Linked DNA regions of Ovis aries. The protein of the gene in region 1 purifies or fractionates together with the protein of each later gene. This does not show direct contact. Links are inferred from orthologs where the notes say so. Each region holds a gene or a part of one and is shown in the gene's direction. Other genes may lie near its edges. The genes, in order: SERBP1, TSR1, RBM42, PRMT1, DNM1L and LARP7.

Region 1 (4,381 bases):
CCTTGGTATCTCTAATTTTCTTGAAGAGATCTCTAGTCTTTCCCATTCTGTTGTTTTCCTCTATTTCTTTGCATTGATCGCTGAAGAAGGCTTTCTTATCTCTTCTTGCTATTCTTTGGAACTCTGCATTCAGATGCTTATATCTTTCCTTTTGTCCTTTGCTTTTCACTTCTCTTCAACAACATTTAAATCTTATTAAATACTGGAAATTAATTTATATTGATTCATTTCTATCAGAAGGCAGAGTCTGGATTAAAAAATTGATGTCAGGTGTCTCACAGTGGAGTTAGAAGACTGGAGTTAACTCCTGGCACTTAAACTGTTACAGACGTGAACTTGATTAAGTTATTTCAAATAGGAAATGGTTTCACCTGTGAAAAGGGAAAATTATTTACCTAATAAGTTGTTGTCGTCATTAAGGTTATTCATAGTACCTGGAACATGGAGATGCATTTTCTATATTCTGGTTAATAGGAAAAGGTTTAAAAATTATAATACATTCACCCTCACCGTGTTACCAAATATGCTTGAATATGCATGACACCCTTTTAATGGACTTTAATATTCTCAGCTAATACCAATGAGAATTAAAGACAATTCTCTGACATATTTCTCTCCCCTCACTGCACCTCTTAGCACATCACACATTCAGATGCTCTTCAGATAACATTTTAATGTTATTTCTTGAGTACCTTTTACTAACACCCAATCCTTGACTTGCCTGGCACTAATGTCAGCCTAGGCTCCATAAAGTGTTTCTACAAACAATGCCTTTTGGAGGCTTTCCCAGTGTCTGGCTAGTGCTACACCGCCAGGAGTTAACAATTAAAGCACCGGTCGCAAGACGGCACTTCTCATCCAAGAAAAGCGCGCAACACTCACTTTGCTAGTTCAACTTGTCTTTTGGATTAATTCTGCTGCTAGAGTTCAAGTGGCCGCGAGAAGAAGCGTATTCCGCCTCACATTAAACAGAGACGCTTCGATTCATTATTAGGGCTGCAGGAGGGCAACTGCAGCAACTGGGCAACTAGGGATTTGGAAGAGAGCGGGTTCCACTTCCGCGAGGCCAGTGCAATCTGCCAGCCCTGGAAGTTTGTGAGTCTCCACTTGTAAGACTGATAGTCACCTTGACCCTCCCGGAGAGGTGGGGAAAGTTAGTCCTGGGCCGGAGACGGGGAGTAAAACCGAAGACTGAGAACTTTCGCGAGCAAAACACGCCGTCACGTTTTCCTGTTTTCAGCGCAGCAGGAGACGCCGAGAGTTTAAGGGCGGCGATAGCAGGTGGCAGGACTCCGCCTACCACCGCGCTTCTCCCTCAGCTTGCACACCCCTCTCCCTCAGTGAGGACTCGCCTCTGAGGCGCGCGCGAAGAGTTGTTCAGCCGTGTATTCTGGGAGTTGTAGTCCTGGTGCCGGGAGCCGCCTCAGGAAAAGCGACTCTGGCCTACAGACCCCGTGGTACCGTGCGGCGCTGGCCGCTCCCGGATGTGTGCCTAGCGCCGGAAGAGAAGACAGCCCCCCTCTCTCGGCCCGGCCATCTTGTGGGAAGAGCTGAAGCAGGCGCTCTTGGCTCGGCGCGGCCCGCTGCAATCCGTGGAGGAACGCGCCGCCGAGCCACCATCATGCCTGGGCACTTACAGGAAGGCTTCGGCTGCGTGGTCACCAACCGATTCGACCAGTTATTTGACGACGAATCGGATCCCTTCGAGGTGTTGAAGGCAGCAGAGAACAAGAAAAAAGAAGCCGGCGGGGGCGGCGTTGGGGGCCCTGGGGCCAAGAGCGCAGCTCAGGCCGCAGCTCAGACCAACTCCAATGCGGCGGGCAAACAGCTGCGTAAAGAGTCCCAGAAAGACCGCAAGAACCCGCTGCCCCCCAGCGTCGGCGTGGTTGACAAGAAGGAGGAGACGCAGCCGCCTGTGGCGCTTAAGAAAGAAGGTAAAGCAGTGGTAGAAGGTGGGAGACACCCGGGATGGAGGGAAGGAGCGAGGAGACTTGCGGCTAACACTCGCTTCTGGGGCTCCGAGGGTTCGCGGGAGACTTGGCCACTGATATCCCGGCGTTTCCCTCAACGCGACAAAAGCCAGGTCCTGCGAAGGTGTTGGGAGCGTGTTAAGCCCAAGTTCAAACCGCCACCTGCAAGGATACTGGAACCACCCCTTCCCGCCTCAGGTCTGAGCCGAGAAGCGTGGTCGGGATCCTGGGAGGCTGCTGCCTTCCCGCCGGATTCCTTGGCGGGCGAGCGCATGGACCGAGGCTCGGTGAAGGGAGCCACTCCTCGGAGCACTTGTAGTGAAGCGGACAGCGGGGGCTCCGCGGCTTCTTCCTGCTCAGAGCTGCCCCCTCAGTCTGCTGCTCTGAGGTGAGGTTGTCTCCTTCAGGCTACTCTCTTGCCATCTTGTCCCAGGATGGCGCGGGGTACGCCCGAAAAAGAGGGTCGAGTTTTCTGCCCGCGCGCACACCTCTCCGCAGGCATGTTCGAACCGCTCGGATATTGTGGGAAAAGCTGCCCTTTTAGGTGCACACGTGCTTTATTGTCCACCCCTCGCCCCCTCAACTATTACAAACTTAATAACTTGCTGGAGTGACTCAAGCTGTTGGGAGAGGAATTTAGCCCCTCGGGATTGACCAGAAGCGGGAATTCTGAATGAAAACGTGTTGGCAGGAAATCCTGAAACTCGTTCTCGAGTCAAGATCTTTTTATCTACCCCGTCGAACCCCCGCGGACCCACCTCCCCACTGCACGCAGTGTTTCGTGTGGTGTGCCCCTGGCGCGAGCCTCGTGGCTGTCACAGCGGTAGCCACCGCTGAGTCCTTTTGAGTCTATGGCTTTTTCTCCCCATGTGCGTGAAGCGTGGTCGGGATTTCATTGGCGGGTAGTAGCTGCTTCCAGGTCATTGTAAACTTCGCGGGATTGCCTTGAACTTGGTGTTTGCACTCTCCCTCATTGCTGGTTTCTCTTTGGTGGTGGGTGAAAAAGCATAGCAGTGAGGAGTAAGGAAAAATCTTACAGATCCGAAGTAAGTAGGTGTAGGACCTAAGTTCTGAATCGTAGAGATTACCTCTGTGTGTTGAAAGTTGAAATTTTGCCACGTGCTTCAGAAAGGAGTTCTGAGCTTTAGTTGAATTTGATAGCTAGCGTTCAGCTAATTTGAAAATGAAAACAATTGTGTTAGGTTTTGGTTTAGAATTTTTAAGAAATAGAACGTTTTGAGGCTTGGGATGAAGAACCTAGGTGGTAAATAAAACAATTATATTAAAATTACAGGTTGGAGAGGGAAGCACACGTTGGAGTATTAGCATGCATCTTTGAGGCTAAATACTCGGCTAATCTTTATAGCAGGCTCTATAGGCTGTAGCACAATGTAATAAATCGTTTAATTTCTATGTTAAGGAACACTGACTTGTGTAGTCATTTAAACTGTGCTCAAGTTTACCTCCTGTATCGCTAATTCAAAGAAGGTACATGAAAAAATGGAATCTGAAATGTGTTCACTCGTTTTGAATGTTCAAAACATGAGGTGTGCTTTAAACCCCTCAGTTTGATCATAAAGTCCGTTTATGAAATAAACTTTTACCTGGAACCTAGTATTTTAAATTATAAAGTTATTTCATAAATTTATGAGCAGGATTACGTTTACCATTCAGTAGTCAAATTCAATAATTTCCATTATTAGCTATCAACATTTTCCTTAGGTCAGCATTTCAGAGGACACTTAGGCTTAAATTGCATAAAACACAGGTTATAAAAATGTTGAATGAAAAAAGTTCATTTTGAGAGCCTACTATGTAGCAATCATTTCTGGGCATTGGGGAAGTATAGACCTGTAAACAAAAGTCCTGGACTCTTGTAGTAGGAGGGATTGTTAACCTGATCATGTGTTCTGTGCCTTTGAATAGGGGTCCTGGCACAATCAGATATGCTTTAGGTAGGTATTTACTGTTTATATTCTATGAATTTTGTAGTTTATCTTTTGCCCACTTGAGGAATTTGAGAATGGACACCACTGAACATCGCTAAGGTCTATTCTTGTTTGTTTTTTCAATGTTGAAAGCCTGGAATATAGTGAAAAATCTAGAGACACATTTTTAAATGTCAGTTGCTGCGTGGATTTATTTGTGTTTTAGATTCTGTAAGCCTGATAACTGAATATTGGAGTGTGGAAGCAAGCCATTGTTCATCTGGGTGTGTGAGGCTTGGATATTATAAGAACTGGTTCTGTAGCTCCACCCCATACACTCACTACCTCTGAAGAAATTTTTTTAAATGCCTCGGTGTAAGGTCTAATGTTTGTGTCCTGTCCTGAGAGTTTATGTGGAACGGACCTTAAAATTTCAGAGTTTGACGTTTACCATTTGACTGCAAGCAACTGAACAGTTGGGTG
Region 2 (3,705 bases), on another chromosome or scaffold:
CAGATGTCAGTACTTAATATGGTGGTGAGCCGGCACCCTGGCAACACTGAACCCGTGAAAGCTAAAGAGGAGCTGATCTTCCACTGTGGATTCAGGCGCTTCCGAGCCTCACCTTTATTCTCTCAGCACACTGCAGGTAAGCAGGGCAGTTTCTGGGTTTTTGTTCATCTTACTGTCTGTTAGGGGACTGTGATTTTGCGGCAGGGGGTGGGAGTGTGGGATGGCGGGGATGGGGTGTGCAGATACAGCATTTCAGACTTTGGTTTAGGAGCCAGTGATGTTTCCATTCAAAATGTCTGAACCTGTCTGAAGCATCCCTGTGATGCAAACTGTGTGGTGCTGAGGCTCCTGTGCCATGAGTATTTGCTGCAGACTTAGTGTTGAATAGGGGTTGGCAGCTTTCAAGAAATGATGTGTCATGGAACTCTTGGCATCTGATGTCCCAGTGGGTGAAGTCTAGGGGGTGGCCCACAGTTAGATAAAGCAGAGGTATATGGCTTCTGAGATCTTGAGATTAGATGAGAGTTTGGACAGTGATGACTAGGGATACTCCTATGACAAAAAGTGATTGTCCTCTTACAGTCTTTAGAGTGGGAAGATATTTGCAGTATGTCAGGGCTTCTGAACGTTACCCACACTCTCAGCCCCCAGCGGTGGCCAGAGGAAGGTGAGAAAAGGCAGTATTAATGGATGCTCTGGATAATTTCTTTGCTCACCAACCATTCTGTCTAAATGAGGGATTGATACTGCCCTTTTATTTCCCTATAACTTTCAGTATTAATTTAAAAAAATGTATTATCTATAGCTGTTTTTGTGCTTTAGTGAGAACTCAGTAATTAGAAGAGATACTTGATGGCCACAAAGCCTAAAATACTTAATCTGATTATAGAAAATGTTTGCCAGTCCTTGCTGAAGACTTAAGAGCTGTTGAATTAGTGTTTTTCTGTAAAGCACCGATTCTTAAATGAGGTAGGGTGCTATGTATCGGGATCACCTGGAGAACTTTGACAAACCCCAAAATACAGTTCAAGCTCCAAAACTGTGCCTCCTACTTGAAAAATCACTCTGCTAGGATAAGGTTGTATTTTTCAGTTGTACAGAGGCCAGAAAATGTTTGGAGAACTAATAGGATAAAGAAACATTAGTTGCCTTAGTTTAAGAGGTCCAGTGATACAGCTTTTTCACAGGCCTCTGGATTACCTATTGTTTCTCAAAATATGTTCTGGTTTTTATTCTTTTAATGACAGCGGATAAACATAAATTTCAGAGGTTCCTGACTGCAGACACAGCCCTGGTGGTGACAGTATATGCCCCAATCACTTTTCCTCCTGCATCTGTGCTGCTTTTCAAACAGAACAGCAATGGTAAGTTGAGTTCACAGAGGTGAATAGCCTGCAGGTCCTTAATAAGATTAACTGCTCTCTGTATTTAAATTTGGGAGTCAGATGGTAACGAAAAAGTAATGATTTTTTTAAAATTATCCCAATTTCAGGATGACAGATGGGGTTTTATCTTGCTTGCAAACCTTAGCTAATCTGTGGAGGTCGCTCAAGGTGCTCTGTTTAGGGTGGGTTCTGAGGACAGGCTCAGCAGGAATATCAGTGATCTCGGCCATGAACTCAGGAGGGCCACATAGTACATCCCCACTGGGTTTCCCAAGATCTCTCATAGGCCTTTAACTAGACTGGACAATAAGTGACGGCTTTGACCAAAAGCCTCCTGCTGCTCTGCCTTCGCCCCTCAGGAATGCACAGCCTCATTGCCACAGGCCATCTCTTGTCAGTGGATCCAGACAGGATGGTCATCAAGAGAGTTGTTCTGAGTGGTCATCCTTTCAAAATTTTTACCAAGACGGCAGTGGTGCGTTACATGTTTTTCAACAGAGGTAGGTGTGACAGAGGGGATCCAGTTCCTTTGTGGGATGAAGGTTGGGTTTATGCATTATGGATAGGTGTTTCACCCTGGCCTTCTGTGTGTTTCTTTACCTAAGAGGATGTACTGTGGTTTAAACCTGTGGAACTGAGAACAAAGTGGGGCCGCAGGGGCCACATCAAGGAGCCTTTGGGTAAGAGAATGCGCGATTGGGAGCTTGTGTAGACTTCCCCAGTGCTGTTAAACGGCCACTGGGTTAAGAGACCACTGCTTTAAAGTCTTCTGTTAATATGACCAATTCATTCTGTTTTCATTCTAGGTACTCACGGTCACATGAAGTGCAGTTTTGATGGGAAGCTAAAATCTCAGGACACAGTACTGATGAATCTTTATAAGAGAGTTTTCCCCAAGTGGACTTATGATCCATATGTACCAGAACCAGTCCCCTGGGTGAAAAGTGAGATTTCTTCAACAGTGCCTGAAGTGGACATGGAGTAACGGATTCAGTGGGATTCTGTCTCACTGCTACTAGTGAGCACTCTGGGGATGGGAGCCTATAGGTTGTGATTGCCCAGTTTGTGCTTTCTACTTAAGCCTACTTAAGGGCTCCTGCTCCTTTGTGCAGAAGACTTTTCTTGGCCCTGAGAAGGTGTCTCAGTTAAGTATGGATGTTTTTCTAGTTCAACTTAGTCCAAAAAAAACCATTAAATCTTACTGAAATACACATTCTCCATTAGGGTTTTGAAGGCTGTTTTAGAGGGGAAGATAGGAACTTGACAATGACCAGGAGACAAAATTTCCAAGTGTCTAGACACTTGAGTCCCTTTTCTTCCTTTTGCACCTATTAAACAGAAACAGATTGCTAAGGAGCTGCCTTTTCATCCTGCTTCTTCACCCAAGTTAGGGAGGTTAAGTCTACATTTCCACCACTGAGCACAATACAGATGTTCTTTACTTCTGCGGGAACTGTTTGAAAATGCTGAGACAGCACAGCGGCCACTCCAACACCAGCTGTAGGTTCAATAAGCAATTTCATCCTCTCCCACACCAGCTGGGTTGCATACTGTCGGTATAGAAGGGAGTAAGAATTAGTGACACAGGAAAAGGGGTAAAGAGCCTAGTTGGTTGGCCTCTATGCTTAAAGGCCAAATGGGGGTGTATGCCCAGTCTGAGTATTCCTGTTTGTGATACGTTTGTGTTTGCCAGTGAAGGGCAGGGCTTTTTTCATTCTGACTTGCTTTACTGTCTTGACACTCGTCTAGAGCACCCTCTCACATGTTATGAAATCACCTAGTCAAGTTCCCTTGTGGGTTAGTTGCCATTTACAACAGGAAGGTTTTTGCCTAATAAGTTGCTCCGCTCTTTTGTTGTTTTCTTTCCTCTTGGAGCCTCACCTTAATTTCATCCTCGGTGACAGTGAAGACATCATCCACGAGGTCTCTTATAATAGGCCAGGTGTTTAAGCCAATGCTGGATTTGATACCATCTGCTATGGTTTCCGGAGGATAGGGGTTGGGGGTCAGTTCCCCTTTGAGTTTGGACTGGTAGCAGTCATCTGCATTCAAGGGTTCAGCAGCATATACCTTCACACTAGGTCTCAGAGCCTAGGAAGAGGAGTATTAGATACCTTACAACTAGACACAGCATTTTGCCGGCATGCTTGCAGTAAAACAGATGGTACAGTTAACACATTTCTGCCCAAGAGCCTTTCTTTTAATCTATGTAATAGAAATAAGGCGTTTAAGCACTTTAAATTGTTTTCTACTCTGGCCTTCAGTTGCCTAGATCACAGCTGGTTCTGCTGGTGACTTGGGAAAGGAGTAGCTCCTGACC
Region 3 (3,034 bases), on another chromosome or scaffold:
ATGGGGATGGTCTTGATCCCTGTCTCCTGTACAATGTCACGAACTTCAGTCCATAGTTCATCAGGCACTCTATCTATCAGATCTAGGCCCTTAAATCTATTTCTCACTTCCACTGTATAATCTTAAGGGGTTTGATTTAGGTCATACCTGAATGGTCTAACAGTTTTCCCTACTTTCTTCAGTTTAAGTCTGAATTTGGTAATAAGGAGTTCATGATCTGAGCCACAGTCAGCTCCTGGTCTTGTTTTTGTTGACTGTATAGAGCTTCTTCATCTTTGGCTGCAAAGAATATAATCAAATATAATCAAAATTTCTCACAAAATTTTAAATTTTGCACAGTTAACTATATATCAACCACCTAGATTCAGCAATTAACATTTTGGTATCTTCACTGTAACCCTCCATGTTTATCATTTTTTGGTTTTTGCTCAATCATGTGAAGTAAATTATAAATGAGGTTATCACTTCACTCCTAAATACCTTAGTATTCATCTCCTAAGAAAAGTAATATTTTCTTTCATATCATTACATGGTTAACACATCTAAGACAATTAACAGTAACTGTGTTATCTCATATTCTGTTTATATTGTGATTTTCCCAGTTGTCTCCAAACTGTTTCCTTTTAGCTGTTTTTCCCCTAAACCAGGAGGCATGCAGTTTTGTGCCACTAGATTATCTTTTAAAGAGAATTGTCTCCCTCTCGCTGCTTTGTCTCACTTATAATAGTCTTTTGAAATGTTCAGATCAGTTGGTTTATGGACGGTCCTACCCTCTTAAGTTTGTCAGATTACTTCTGCCTGGGGTGACCTAACTTGTTCAAGAGTGCCCTCAGTCACCACCAAAGCTATGAGGCAACCACAGTGGTAGCTAAGGAAAGGAGCCTAAGTCCCACCCCACTCCTTTACAGCACTGGCCCAGAGGTGGCTAGGCGGTAGACCCTAATTCTGTGACCTTGGACACGTCACTCCGCCTTTCACGCCTTGTTTTCCAGCAAGGAGATAGTAATAGTATATACTCGTGGGGGAAGGGATTCTTTGAGCTTGAGCACATTTGGTCAAGACCAGGCTCAGCCCAGGAGGTTTATCCAAAAATGGCAGCTGAAGTTGACCTTGGAGAAGAATGAGGCAGTGTGTTCAGGTTTCAGGGACTCAAACGGGATCAGAGTGGGCTTTGCAGAGGAGGCAGAGCTGAGGATGAAGTCTGCGGTCCTGGGGTGCCATTATGGGAACCAGTGGGTGTCAGGGGCCCAGGGAGTGTCCATGGAGAGGTGTTCAGGAGGCCAAAGGATGCTGGGGGCTCAGAGGACAGGCCAGGGCTGTGATGACAAAGGTAGGGGCTTCATCACCGGAGTGGGTGAGGTGGCCCTGGGGTGGGGCAGGGCAGTGCCGTTAGTTGAAAGTGAAGGCTCTCGAGCCAGATAGATGCCTGAGTTCTTGTCCTAGCTCTGCTGCTTGCTGATTAACTTTGGGCAGGTGACTTGACCTCTCTGTGCCTTGGCGTATAGGGCTGTTGGGAATGCCAGGTATGTGAAAACTTTATGGATGCTTTGCAGAGAGTCTGCTGCTAAGTCACTTCAGTCGTGTCCAACTCTGTGCGACCCCATAGACGGCAGCCCACCAGGCTCCCCCGTCCCTGGGATTCTCCAGGCAAGAACACTGGAGTGGGTTACCATTTCCTTCTCCAGTGCATGAAAGTGAAAAGTGAAAGTGAAATCGCTCAGCGACCCCAGGGTCTGCAGCCTACCAGGCTCCTCCACCCATGGGATTTTCCAGGCAAGAGTACTGGAGTGGGGTGCTATTTCAGAGAGTCTAGCACAGGGTATATACTATCCAGGTGTTGGCTGTTATAACTAAGAGGACCTCAGGTCGAGACTGCTGGGATACAGAGGGAAGAGGGCTTGGGGGATGCTCCCAGAGAAGGTGGGATCATTTCAGTAAGACAGACCCTGGGCCACACATGTGTATCCTCTGATCTTCCCTCTCCCAACCCCAGATGACTTCCGGATCTTCTGTGGGGACCTGGGCAACGAAGTGAATGATGACATCTTGGCCCGAGCCTTCAGCCGCTTCCCATCCTTCCTTAAGGCTAAGGTGATCCGTGACAAGCGCACAGGCAAGACCAAGGGTTATGGCTTCGTCAGCTTTAAGGACCCCAGTGACTATGTGCGTGCCATGCGTGAGATGAATGGTGAGTGCGGTCTCCCTAGGGTCATTGGGCATGGCAGACATCTGGTCTGAGCCTGACCTTGAACCCTCTCTTCCCACAGGGAAGTATGTGGGCTCACGCCCCATCAAGCTGCGCAAGAGCATGTGGAAGGACCGGAACCTGGACGTGGTGCGCAAGAAGCAGAAGGAGAAGAAGAAATTGGGCCTGAGATAGGGTCTGTGGCCAGGCACCCGCTCCCATCCGGCCGGGCGCTGGTTCCTCCCCACAGTTCTTTGGAAAACCCTCAACTGTCTACCCAGCCATCCTCCCCAACACCAGTTTCAATAAATTTACGTTCATTTCCATCCTTGGCTAGGCTTGGAAGCACTCTTTGGAGAGCCGGGCTTAGCATCCCCCACTCTGGAGACAGTGGGGAGCCTTGAAAGTTTACATAAACATGCAGATGGGTGTTTTCAACGCTGCTACCTGCCCGTTAGATCTTCTTGAAACCTCTTTAAGTGTATACTGAGTGCAGCCCATTCCTCAGAGGAGGAAGTAGAGTCTTAGCGCAAGGTCAAAGCCAAGTGGAGGCTCACCCCAGTGGTCTTCTGATTCCACCCTGTGTTCTCAGCACCAAGGTAGTGGGTCCTCTGGGCCCTGCCCTTCTGGAGCTCAGAGCTTTCCAGGCTTTCATTCATTCATCCATTTTCATCAAGGACCTGGACAGTGTGTGGATACCGTGGTAACAGTGTTCCTAGCTAATGGTTCAGTGGCAGAGAGCCATTGCCAGACAATGAGAGTTAGCAGGGTTGGGATGGGGAACCATCCCGAGGAGTCCAAGGCGGCTTCCTGAAGGCACTGGCCATTTCTGAAACTCTTTCATTCTCT
Region 4 (3,705 bases), on another chromosome or scaffold:
ACAGCTCCTGAGGGTGCCGAATCTTCCAGGGGGTCATGTTGGGGAGAGCTGGAGATTCATCTCTGACGCATGCGCACTGCCTTCCCTGGCAGCGGGCCACCCCCTCTGCGCAGGCAGAGCTCACACTCCGGGTCGCCTCGCGCAGCCGTTGCCTGGGAGACGGGGTTAGCCTGGCGCTCTACCAGTCCTCTCCTGGGAGGCCGCGGTGGGAGCGCGCATGTGCATCGCATGTGCATCTGAGACGCATGTGCATCTGAGACGTCAGCCCGAGGTCAGGGCCTACCGGTCTTTGCCGCCCTCTAGTGACCGGCAGCGGCTCGAAAGTCTTCTCCACCCCTTTTGCGTGTGGTGGAGGCTGAGGTCCCAGAAAGCAGCAGGGATGGGGTGGGAAGATTTTTCTCTTTCCTTTTTTAAAATATTGTTATAAAATATGCATAACAAAATTTACCATTTTCACGTGGGCGGTTTAATGGCTTTGGCTTACTGAGGACTTTTTAAAGGCAAGGCTTTACAGGGGGTTAGTCGGCAAGGGTAGAAAATGCCTAAGATGGGATTTTGGTCCATCCAGTCCAATTTCACGTAGGGAAACTGAGGCGTGTGGAAGGGAAATAACTTGTCCTAAGGGGACTAAAGCAGGTTTGAGGACTGAGTGCCAGTCTTCAAGTTGATCAGTGTGTTGGAGGCCAGGACACCCTGGTTTTCAGCAGGGGACGCCAGTCCCCTCATGATCTCTTTGTTCCCACCCCTGCCAGGAAATGCTGAAAGATGAGGTCCGCACCCTCACATACCGCAACTCCATGTTTCACAACCGGCACCTTTTCAAAGACAAGGTGGTGCTGGACGTGGGCTCGGGCACAGGGATCCTCTGCATGTTTGCCGCCAAGGCTGGGGCCCGCAAGGTCATCGGGGTGAGTGTCCTCGGCGGCCGGCCAGGCCTGGGCCTAGGGACGGAAAGGGGGCCCCTTGGGGCTCAGGGATTGGGTGGAGGGGAGTGGGGGTGGAGGGTGGCATTTGGGGGGGGGTCTCACCCTCCCTTCTTCCTGGGCCCCCAGATCGAGTGTTCCAGTATCTCTGATTATGCGGTGAAGATCGTCAAAGCCAACAAGTTAGACCATGGTGAGCCCAGGAAGAGAACGGGGTCTTTGGGGAGGGAGCGGGGGATCCCAGCTTCCCCGGGGCCCCTGGCAAGGGAATGGAGGCCATAGAAGTCAAATTCAGGCGTTCCTCCCCCGGTGGGCTCTGGGCTGCGGACAGCCCAAAAATCCAGCCTTCTCAGAACCTACCTCCTGACAAGCCGTCTTAGAATCTGCATGTCGAAGTCACAAGCTTAGTGCTTCAGTCTTTTATTTAAAAAAACAAAAATTTCAAGAAGCAATCTTGAGTTTTTTCAGTGAGTGATAGAGTCACGTGGTTGGCACATGAGGCCCATAGTAAGAAGTCTGCCACCCGCCTCTCAGCCACTCTTCTCTAAGTGCAGACAGCTCTCTCTCCCAGAGAGGTTCATACCGATGAACAAACGTGTGTGTATGTTTCTGCATTCACATGCTGGTTTTTGACACAGATAATGTTTCATACATGCCCTTTGTGATTTTCACCTGTGTATTATGTAGTTTAACACCTGATAGGATGTTGAGAGGATCTTGCTTTTTGATGACTGCCATCCTCTATTTTCACATACACCAGGTCTGTTAACCAAGTTCCTGGTCATGGGCATTTGAGCTTCCAAGACTTTCATCCCCCACCTGTAATGTCATCATCAATCATATATGAACTAATGTTATCTGTGAGGTCAGTTTGTAAAAGTAGGGTTGCATGGATCAAAAGTGGAAGAAAGTTGGGCAGAAGGTGCCACATTGCCCTTCCCACCTGCAAGGTTTGAGGGGCAGAGGACATGGGAACATGTGGGTTTTTTGATATGAGGGCCCTTGGCATTCTAGAAGCTGAAGGGGTTTTTTTTGAAAAAGAAATTAGTGTAATGAATTCCTAAGTTCCCATCACTGAGCTTTAAATACCTCCTTTTGAAGCAAATTCCGACTATAAATCCTGCCATGTGTGTATCTAATAGATTTTAAAAAATATTTAAAAAAGCATGACCACGGGAATTTCCCGGCAGCCCAGTGGTTAGGACTGCTTTCACTGCTAGGGCCCCACTTCGATCCCCCGTCAGGGAACTAAGATCCCACAAGCTACACAGTGCAGACAGAAAAACAAAACGTGACCGTGGCTGTTAGTGGCAAAATCTCTCTCATTTTTAAAAAAAATTTTACTTTGCTGCGTCAGGTCTTAGTTGCAGCGTGCGGGATCTAGTTCCCTGATGAGGGGTTGAACCCCAGTCCCCTGTCCTGGGAGCATGGACTCTTAGCCACTGGACCACCAGGGAATCCCAAGGCTGACTTCCAGTAGATTTTAGGAAGGGAGCTGCTCTGCCCCGTACAAAACCCTGACCCAGAAGCAGGTCATCTGCAAATGGTTTGGCACCAGGTTCCCCATGAGTGTGCGAGGCGTGACGGGTAAGGGGGTGGCTGCCTTTCCCATTCTGTGTCCTAGAGTGAGGGGCTGTCTGCACCGGGCCCTGGTCCTGCCTGCTAATGGCAAAATCTCAATGTCACCTCATACCTGATTCATGTCAAGTTCTGTTCCTGCCTCAGAAATACCCCTTGATGAATGAATTTTAAAAACTTAAGTTGACAGGGTGTGACTTCAGCTCACAGAGTTCTTTAAAGATGCCCCAACACAGCCCCCAGCCCTTCCTTGAGAAGACAAGGCTGTCCCGGTGGGGTCCCCAGGCCCCCAGGGGAGGCAGGCAGACGGCTGTCCTCAGGGCTGGTGGCATGTGCCCTTGTCTGCCCCGCAGTGGTGACCATCATCAAGGGGAAGGTGGAGGAGGTGGAGCTCCCGGTGGAGAAGGTAGACATCATTATCAGTGAGTGGATGGGCTACTGCCTCTTCTACGAGTCGATGCTCAACACCGTGCTCTACGCCCGGGACAAGTGGCTGGTGAGGCCCCAGCGGGGCGGGAGCGGCTCGTGCAGGCCGGTGTGGGGGTCCAGGCAGAAAAGGGAAGCTGTGCTCCGTACTTCCCACCACGGGGACTGAGTACAGGGCTTGGAAGACATCTACATGGATGTTAGGAGGCCCACGGGCAAGATGGAGGGGGCCCAGTACCGGAAGCTAGACAGGGACAGGGAGATGGTGCTGGAAAAGAACCACAGCAGGCCAGAGGGATTAGGAGGGACTGTGGACCCAGGTGCTGTCAGAGCAGGCCTCCCAGGGAGCTGACCGAGACCTGAACCCCGGACGGGGAGGAGCCACATGGGATCTGAGGGGCAAGGCACACTTAACAGAGGATTTCGGCCAGTGCAAAGGTCCTGGGGCAGCAGCGAGTTCGCTGTGTAGGGAACTTGTAGGGAACCTGCAGCAGAACACGGATCGGGAAGGAAGTTGGAGGTGAGGGGCGGGGGTGGGCCTGTGCAGGTCTCATGGGACCTCGTGGATGTGTAAGACTTTGCCTTACTCCTCAGAGGGGCGAGGTTAGGACGAGATCTGACTTAGATGCTCCTCAGAGCCATCAGGCAGCTATCTGGGGAGTAGACTGAGGCTGGGCACCAGTGAGGAGGCCGAGACAGGAGCCCACCTGGGAAGTGCTGAGCTCAGACCAGGGTGGTGTCAGGGGTGGATAAATAAACAAAATGGGGCAACCTTGCC
Region 5 (3,705 bases), on another chromosome or scaffold:
ACTAATTGCTAAGTATAACATTTTCTAATTTTAAAAAGTTTGTTTCTTTAATATGGACAACAACATTGTTCATGAAAAAATAAAAAAGTACAGATAAGTAAAAAGAGTAAAGTATAAGGATAAAATTCCTTTTATTTCCATCATCCAGAAATAATCCCTATTATTTGGCATTAATCTAGACATTTTTCTATGTATTTATAAAACATAAAAAATGCCTATAATACACATCTTTAAAAATCAGATGCTACAGAATCATTTCTTTAAATCAACTTGTCACAAACAGCTAGTAGAAATTGCATATTTGTATTTTCAGCCTTAAGATTTACATAGTATTTTACTTTTTAGATTCGTTCAGTGAGTCCCCTACTCTTGATAGTTTGCTTTCAGTTATACACAAATATATACAGTGTTGTGATGGACTATCTTTGGAGCATGTATTCAAGTAAATTCTTAGGGTAAATTTCTAGAAGTAGAATTACTAGATCAAAAGGTATATTATATTCTCAACATCTTTTATCATTGCTATATTAGTAGTGAGTGCTAAGTTGCTTCAGTCGTGTCTTGCTTTTGCAAATCTATGGACTGTAGTCCTCCAGGCTCCTCTGTCCAGGGGATTCTCCAGGCGACGATGCTGGAGTGGGTTGCCATGCCTACCTCTAGGAGATCGTCCTGACCAAGGGATCAAACCTAGATCTCTAACGTCTTCCAACATGTTCGGAGGTCTCTAACATCCTCCTGCATTGGCAGGCAGGTTCTTGACCACTAGTGCCACCTGGGATGTTAGTAGTAAATTGTATTGTTTTACTAGTAGCAATATATAAGAATATATTTCTCTGAACTCTCACCTTTAAAAAGCCTTTTAATTTTGAAAAATAACTATAGATTTCTAGCAAGTTGCAGATAAATGTACAGAGAGGTCCATTCACCCTTCACCTCCCAGCACTGACATCCTGCATATCTGTAGTACAATAACAAAGCAAGAAAATGGACACTGGTACAATCCACAAAGTTTATTCAGATTTCACCAGTTACACTTCATGTGTGTGTGTGGGTGTACAGTTCTGTGTACTTTCATGTGACCCTGGTAGCCTTCTGTGTGAGTTAACTCCATAGAATATTTATATCTTTGTAATTATCTAATCAAGCCTCATTAGAACATTGAAGAGAGACCATTTATATCTCTTTCAAGGATTGGGAGAGCTCCAGATTGGGAGAGCTCCATAGTTAGGAATGCATTTGGGTTGGGCTGTGAATAGAATATGGCGAAGGCCGTAAGCAGTAAGTAGAAGGGTATTTTAGGCTTTGGAATAGCAAAGAATAGTTCAGGGTGAATTTGGAGAATGGCAGGTACAGTGATGGGTTGTAACAGGAAGTAAGGCGGGAAAGGTGTCTAATAAGAACAAGACTGTGGAAAGTGTAATATGTCAGAGTTTGAAGAGCTTCCTACTATAAAAAAATGATAACATTTTTGGTCACAGGAGTTCCCCACTTTAGAAGGGTAATTCTGGTCATTATGGAAACTATTTGGAGAAGGTAAAGGTTGGAGGCAGAGAGACTAGTTACTGGTAATTTTAACTATTTTAAAGTATAATACATACTACTAGGTATATTCACAATATTGTACAGCCATCAAATAGTATCTATTTCCAAGATTTTTCATCATCCCAACAGAAACTCTGTATCATATAAACAGTGATACCTGTCTTCCTCTCTTCTCCTAGCCCATGGTAACCTCTGACTTAGTTTCTGTTGATGTGAATTTCCCTATTCTAGATATTTCATATAAGGAGAATCATACAATATTTGTCCTTTTCTGTCTGGGTTATTTCACTTAGTATAATGTTAGGCTGGTACCTTCTGCCTAGACTACTGTAAGAAAGAAGTGAAAAGTGATGGTAAAAATAGAGAAGAATGAATGATTTGGGGGGATATACCATATCTGTAAAGTTTCAACTGGACTTGAATGAAAAAAATAAAAGATAATACCAGGATTTCTAATCATTAAGACAGGAAATGCAAGGTATCCAGTATGTAGGCCTAGAGATTTAATTTGTTTAAAGCAAGGATAAGCCCATTGACTAAGAATCATTTTTACATTTTTTAAATGGTTGAAAAAAAATTCAAAGAATTTTTAATGTAGTGTATATGTAAAATTCAAATTTTAGTGTGTGTAAGTTTACGGGAACATAGCTATGCTTATTTGTTTACGTACAGTCTGTGGTTGCTTTTGTGCTCAATGGCAGAATTGGCGAGTTGTGACAAAGGCCTGAAAAGTCTAAAAGTATTTAACTGGCCTTTCATAGAAAAAGATCGCTGATCTCTACTCTAGATTGTGAATAAATAGAAATTAGTTAGTTCAGTTGCTCAGTCATGTCCAACTCTTTGCGACCCCATGAACCGCAGCATGCCAGGCATCCCTGTCCATCACCAGTTCCCAAAGTTCACCCAAGCCCATGTCCATTGTGTTGGTGATGCCATCCAACCATCTCATCCTCTGTTGTCCCCTTCTCCTCCTGCCCTCAATCTTTTTCAGCATCAGGGTCTTTTCAAATGAGTCAGCTCTTCGCATGAGGTGGCCAAAGTATTGGAGTTTCAGCTTCAACATCAGTCCTTCCAATGAACACCCAGGACTGATCTCCTTTAGGATGGAGTGGTTGGATCTCCTTGCAGTCCAAGGGACTCTCAAGAGTCTTCTGCAGCACCACAGTTCAAAAGCATCAATTCTGCGCTCAGCTTTCCTTATAGTCCAACTCTCACATCCATACATGACCACTGGAAAATATCCTTAAGGAGTGCATGGTTTAGTTGAGAACTAGAGCAGAGAAAAACGTTTAGTCGTTCTTAGTTAACTGATGTTTTCTGACAGTACAGTTTACTCTGTGTGTGCACGTGCACATGCATATATGAATGCCGTTTGTGAAATGACTCCTTTCCCCATTAAAAAGATTAGAGTAATTGGTTCATAATACAGTTGAGAATACATGGAAATGGTCTAAATGTAATTTTCCATAATCTTACTGCTTACAGAAAGACTTCTAGTTTGTAGTGTCTTTCCCTTTTAGTAATACTAGAAATCATATATTTCATTGCCTTTCAGATGTGGTGGTGCTCGAATATGTTATATTTTCCATGAGACTTTTGGGCGAACCTTAGAATCTGTTGACCCTCTCGGTGGCCTTAACACTATTGACATTTTGACTGCCATTAGAAATGCAACTGTGAGTATGCTTAACTTTTAGAATTTTTTGAAATGAGGTTAAAGATTATTTTTTAATCCATATATATTTTTTAACGAATGGTACAGTTTGTTATTTTGCTCTTATTCTTGAAATTAGGAAGTACTTTTCATGAAAAAATACCCAAAAATGTGATTTATTTTAACCTTAGGAAAGAACCAAAATTACATGTAGCTATAAGAGCTCATAATTTTCTCTTTTTAGGGTCCTCGTCCTGCTTTATTTGTGCCTGAAGTTTCATTTGAGTTACTGGTCAAAAGGCAAATCAAACGTCTGGAAGAGCCCAGCCTCCGTTGTGTGGAACTGGTTCATGAAGAAATGCAAAGGATCATTCAGCACTGTAGCAATTACAGTACACAGGTATTGAGAAATGTAACAGGTTTCTGATTAGGTAGTAAAAGACATGAGGTGATGGTTTCAAGGGGTAGGAGGAAATATAGAAGATGGGCTAAAAGTTAAAATTTTAGTT
Region 6 (4,497 bases), on another chromosome or scaffold:
CACATAGTTGACTGCTGGTTGAACAGCAACTTGCTTCTAGCCACTGAATGGGTTAGACATCAAATATATGTAGATAAGACTACATAGTGTCAACACAATGCTTGGCATGTAGCAGTTAACATTAGATCCCTTTAATAACAGTTATTATTTATTCAGTGTAAATTATATGCTAGAACACTGTTAAAATGCTTTAAATTTTACACCTTATAGTACAGATACTACTTTTTATATTCATTTTACAAAAACAGGAAGTGAGGTACATCAGTATGTAATTTGCCTAAGCTCATGAAGTAAATAAATGGCAGATTCAGAATTTAAAACTAAGTAGTCTAAATTCTGGTGTTCCCATTCACAAAAACTACATTATGTGACTATGGAAAACCTACTGTAACAGGCAAGAATGGGACTGGATTCTTTACATATAATATTTATCAGTCTCATAGTCCTAAAAGTTGTTATTACCATCACAATTTACAGGTTAGAAATCCAGTATTTACTTCTTTAGGATTACTTATATGCTGTTTACCAACTGCAAAATAAATTCCCCCATTGTTTTCCTAAATTAGAAATATTACTTGAGGGATTTGCGATGTAAAAGGTATTGAGACGGTCCTAACTCTTGTTAAGTGGTAGATTAAAGAATTACACTTCAAAAAAAAGGGAGAGATTAAATGTTTTGCGATAATTTAGTACAGAAATACATACATATCTTCACACACATTATTGTGCTGTTTTTTAGATTTATGTATAAAATTCGGTGTTATCACTAAAATATGACCTGTTCTTGCTAAGTACGATGAGATGTTTTTGGTCCTTTTCTTTTGGAACAAGCAGGATCTTTCGAATCCCTAAGTGGTTCACAGATTTAAAAATTTAAGAATCACGAGCCCAATAGCCTTTTAAGAAACGGTCCAGTCCAGACAACCAAAAGATGCTCACATTTCATTTGCCAACGTTCTAATTATCACTAGCTTGTGTAACCAGATGACAATGAAGAAGGGACCCTTTGTCAGTCCTAAAAATAAACAGCAAAACCATCCCGGGTTCTCACACGGATACCGGAACTGCCCAGCAGGAGTTGGGGGAAGGTGGTAAAGACGAAGCACTAATTATTTACAGGTTGCTGCGCCAAGCCGTGAACCAACCTTATCTCCACACAGTTTCGTTACCGAACCCCGTCTGGCGGAGCAAACTCCTTCGCCCGTCGCATCAAAATCAGTGACAGCACCTCGAGCTCAAAACTCCAGCCTATCTACCCTCAATCCCCAGAAACTCCCGAGTGGAAACAGCTCTTTTAACTTGCTCATTGCACAAAACCCACTTTCGAACTTCTCCCGCGAAAAGCCGTGACATCATCAACTCGCGACCGCACCAGATCCAACCCCACTATTTAGCCCGCCCACCACGGCTCCGGACCTGAATGGCCGTTTTCAAACTGCCAATCAAGTTCCTCTTTGGCTGCTAGCCTCTGTGGCGACTGCGTTCTCCGATGTCCCGCCCCCACGCTGAGCGGGCCTACGCCAGTGACGTAAATGTCGGTCGCACAACCTCTGGGCCCATCTTTTCCAAGGCGTTCGGAAGAATTGTCGCTCATGTGACGCTAAAATAACCACGACTATAAGGTTCGGGGGACGCGAAGGACTGAAGAACGCAGTCTCTGGCGCTGTATTTTGGGAATTGGACAGAGTAAGTTCTAAGTGGACTCTAGGGAAGCCCAGGTTGGGTGAGATCTAAATTACTCTCAGTCTTTTTCTATGCCGGTCCTTTCTGTCATCTCTGGTCCTTCTCATCCCGCCCCCTCCCACCAACCCATCAGTTAGATTGCCCTAGTGTCCTGGTTCTCTGTGCGCACGCGCAAGAGTCCTCCGGCAGCCCTTGCAGTTCCAGTTTTCTAGTGATTGGGGGCGCTTGCCGCCCGGTTTTGGGAGGTTTGGGGTAGTCCCGCGTCTGACGGCTTCCTTGAGGAAGGACGGGTACCTAAAGGGGCAGTAGTCAAAAGGGGAATTGCTTTTCTTCGCAGATTCGAGTTTTGGTGGCCAAACGATAGCGAATGTGGACTTGTATTTTTAAATTAAGTCATTTCCTTTTTCAGAACTTTTGTCTCTGTCATTCAGAGAGCTGAACATCCAGTTATGGAAGGAAGAAAAAATACAGTGTATTATTGAGTGCGTTAATAGACATACTTAAAAGGGAAACAGATGAGGCGGTTGTTTAGGGGAAATGTGCTAGCAGAAAGCTAGAAAGAGTAAGATGCCGTTTAACCTGGGCCTTGAAAATTGAATAGGACTTGATAAGACAAGGAAGACAAGAAGCTTTTAAAGCAGAGGCACAGAGACAAGAAAGTAGGCAACGCTGGATAGTCAGATGTGACTAGAACTATAGTTCTCTTAACCTTTTTGACACACCATTTCCTTTTAAAACGTGATTTAAAAGATATGGATGAGCCTCCCAGGAAAATACATATACATCTCTAAATATTTTCTATAACCTTTTAAAGAAAAATTGTGAAAGACGTTGAAATAGCCAAAAAAAAAGAGGTGTCTAGCTTACTTTTCCAGCTTACCTCTGCTTTTCATTGTCATTGAGCTATGTTACAATTATGTAAGTTATAATTGAAATAAGTCTTAAGAGTTATTGCCCTGATTAGTGTTACATCTGTTAACAAGTTCATTTCAATATTTTTGCTTGCTTGTATTTGCGCTTGTCTAGTTTTTGAGTTCACCTTTGAACTGGTTTTTAGCACTTAACTAGTTCCCTGGTTAATTACTTAAATAAAATGATTGACGAGTTCATTTTATAAACGTAGAAAAGTCATGGTTTCACCTTTAAAATTTACCTTTGAAAATTTCGTGGGATTTACAATAATTTTTGAAATCCATCCCAAATTCCATGGATTTCAGGTTAAGAATTTCTGAGCCAGGAGAGATGGACTTGTGGACACAGCCGGGGTGGGGAGGGAGAGAGTGAATGAATGGAGAAGGTAGCATCAACAGATACACACTACCGTGTGTAAAATGGATAGCTGGTGAGAAGTTGCTGTATGACACAGGGAGCCCAGTCTGGTGCTCTGTGATGACCTAGAGGAGTGGGATGGAGAAAGGGGAGGGAGGCTCAAGAGTGAGGGTATATATGTATATTTATGACTGATGGTGGCGCTACTGTTAAAAAAATCTTGCCTCCCATTGCAGGCGATGTAAGATGCAATGTTAGATCCCTGAGTCAGGAAGATCCCCTGGAGGAGGGCATGGCAACCCACTCCAGTATTCTTGCCTGGAGAATTCCTTGGACAGAGAGGAGCCTGGATGGCTGCAGTCCATGGGATCACAAAGACTCAGACACTGCTGAAGCGACTTAGCACGAACACACAGATGGCTGATTCGCGTTGTTGTACAGCAGAAACCAACACAACATTGTAAAAAAAAAAAAAATTTAACAATTTAAAAAAAGGATTTCTGAGTCAAAACGTAGACTACATGGTAAGAGGTTGCAAGAGGTTCTACTAAAACTTAGGCAGTGTGAAAGTTAAACATACCTGAGCTTACTTACCTAGCTAGCTTTAGCCAGGTCACTTAACCTTTGAGCCTTTGTAAAAAGTTAAGAGAAATAACCTAGAGGGATTATGAGGATTTAAAACAAGGTGTGTAAAGTAACTGGTGTTACACAGTAACTTTTATTCTTTGTTTAAACCCTATGAAACTAGTTGATTCATTTAACAATTTTTTAAAAATATATGCTGTGTTACCAAAAGATGCTAAAGAATTATTATTGTTGAAAGTTTTAGCATTAGAGTCACAAAATTAGACCTGTGTTTAGACAAGTTACACAGCTTCTGTGAAGGATGGAGGACTTCTCAAACAATTTATAAACAATTTCCGTATTATTATAACAGTAGTTGTGGAAAACACTGGATGAAGATAAGAGCCATTCCAAAGGTTACATTGATAGGGATTAATGACAGATTGGTAAATGATAAAATGATAATAAATAACAGTTAGATATTGTTGACTGTGTGCTGTATAGCAGCAATGGAAAGTGCTTTATCCATTTTGGTTAATTTTTAAAACAACCCTAGTATGTCAGTATAAATTTTATTCCACTTTGTAGATCGTAGAAAGTTGAGTTAACTTGCCCCAAATCCATACAGCTAGTAAATAGCTCGACTGGTTAACTAAGTAGAATATGTCATCCTTAAAGAAAATGAGGGTGGTGAGAACAGCAGAACAGACATTGCTAAGAAAGATAAGAACTTTGATTTGGAATGTATGGAATGACAGTATACCTATTTGTTATCATAGGACATTGAAAAAGTAAACTATGACTATCATGTAACTTCCTGATCTTCTGCAACCAATGTGTAGCAAAGAGAACTTGTACCATAGCTTAATTCCTGTTTAATCTAATCCATATCTGTACTCGAAAATGAAGGTATATTTGATTCTCCACAGATTTTTAAGATTGAAAGTTGCAGAGTGTTATTCACATGGGGCAAGATTTTCT

What was found.
Region 2: the proteins of SERBP1 (region 1) and TSR1 purify together in Homo sapiens (affinity purification with mass spectrometry; 3 studies listed by BioGRID and IntAct, with this or other methods). This does not show direct contact. The link is inferred for Ovis aries from reciprocal best matches to the Homo sapiens genes SERBP1 and TSR1.
Region 3: the proteins of SERBP1 (region 1) and RBM42 purify together in Homo sapiens (affinity purification with mass spectrometry; 3 studies listed by BioGRID and IntAct, with this or other methods). This does not show direct contact. The link is inferred for Ovis aries from reciprocal best matches to the Homo sapiens genes SERBP1 and RBM42.
Region 4: the proteins of SERBP1 (region 1) and PRMT1 purify together in Homo sapiens (affinity purification with mass spectrometry; 3 studies listed by BioGRID and IntAct, with this or other methods). This does not show direct contact. The link is inferred for Ovis aries from reciprocal best matches to the Homo sapiens genes SERBP1 and PRMT1.
Region 5: the proteins of SERBP1 (region 1) and DNM1L purify together in Homo sapiens (affinity purification with mass spectrometry; 3 studies listed by BioGRID and IntAct, with this or other methods). This does not show direct contact. The link is inferred for Ovis aries from reciprocal best matches to the Homo sapiens genes SERBP1 and DNM1L.
Region 6: the proteins of SERBP1 (region 1) and LARP7 purify together in Homo sapiens (affinity purification with mass spectrometry; 3 studies listed by BioGRID). This does not show direct contact. The link is inferred for Ovis aries from reciprocal best matches to the Homo sapiens genes SERBP1 and LARP7.

Annotation. Positions count from the first base shown.
Region 1 is NC_056054.1:43,070,243-43,074,623, reverse strand, and holds the start of SERBP1 (SERPINE1 mRNA-binding protein 1), read left to right. Parts: upstream 1-1,535; 5' UTR 1,536-1,621; coding exon 1,622-1,934; intron 1,935-4,381. UniProt on the Homo sapiens protein: Ribosome-binding protein that promotes ribosome hibernation, a process during which ribosomes are stabilized in an inactive state and preserved from proteasomal degradation.
Region 2 is NC_056064.1:23,185,506-23,189,210, reverse strand, and holds part of TSR1 (pre-rRNA-processing protein TSR1 homolog), read left to right. Parts: exon of another isoform or gene 1-3; coding exon 4-136; exon of another isoform or gene 137-1,247; coding exon 1,248-1,364; exon of another isoform or gene 1,365-1,744; coding exon 1,745-1,885; exon of another isoform or gene 1,886-1,990; coding exon 1,991-2,065; exon of another isoform or gene 2,066-2,191; coding exon 2,192-2,370; 3' UTR 2,371-2,734; coding exon of another isoform or gene 2,735-2,935; 3' UTR 2,936-3,266; coding exon of another isoform or gene 3,267-3,476; 3' UTR 3,477-3,705. Other genes in the region: SRR (serine racemase), read right to left, coding at 2,735-2,935, 3,267-3,476. UniProt on the Homo sapiens protein: Required during maturation of the 40S ribosomal subunit in the nucleolus.
Region 3 is NC_056067.1:45,665,546-45,668,579, forward strand, and holds the end of RBM42 (RNA-binding protein 42), read left to right. Parts: intron 1-1,993; coding exon 1,994-2,188; intron 2,189-2,267; coding exon 2,268-2,380; 3' UTR 2,381-2,511; downstream 2,512-3,034. UniProt on the Homo sapiens protein: Binds (via the RRM domain) to the 3'-untranslated region (UTR) of CDKN1A mRNA.
Region 4 is NC_056067.1:55,814,471-55,818,175, forward strand, and holds part of PRMT1 (protein arginine N-methyltransferase 1), read left to right. Parts: intron 1-752; coding exon 753-908; intron 909-1,052; coding exon 1,053-1,116; intron 1,117-2,854; coding exon 2,855-2,997; intron 2,998-3,705. UniProt on the Homo sapiens protein: Arginine methyltransferase that methylates (mono and asymmetric dimethylation) the guanidino nitrogens of arginyl residues present in proteins such as ESR1, histone H2, H3 and H4, FMR1, ILF3, HNRNPA1, HNRNPD, NFATC2IP, SUPT5H, TAF15, EWS, HABP4, SERBP1, RBM15, FOXO1, CHTOP, MAP3K5/ASK1, MICU1 and NPRL2.
Region 5 is NC_056056.1:182,666,460-182,670,164, reverse strand, and holds part of DNM1L (dynamin-1-like protein), read left to right. Parts: intron 1-107; exon of another isoform or gene 108-3,097; coding exon 3,098-3,218; exon of another isoform or gene 3,219-3,440; coding exon 3,441-3,596; exon of another isoform or gene 3,597-3,705. UniProt on the Homo sapiens protein: Functions in mitochondrial and peroxisomal division.
Region 6 is NC_056059.1:13,387,917-13,392,413, reverse strand, and holds the start of LARP7 (la-related protein 7), read left to right. Parts: upstream 1-1,530; 5' UTR 1,531-1,686; intron 1,687-4,497. UniProt on the Homo sapiens protein: RNA-binding protein that specifically binds distinct small nuclear RNA (snRNAs) and regulates their processing and function.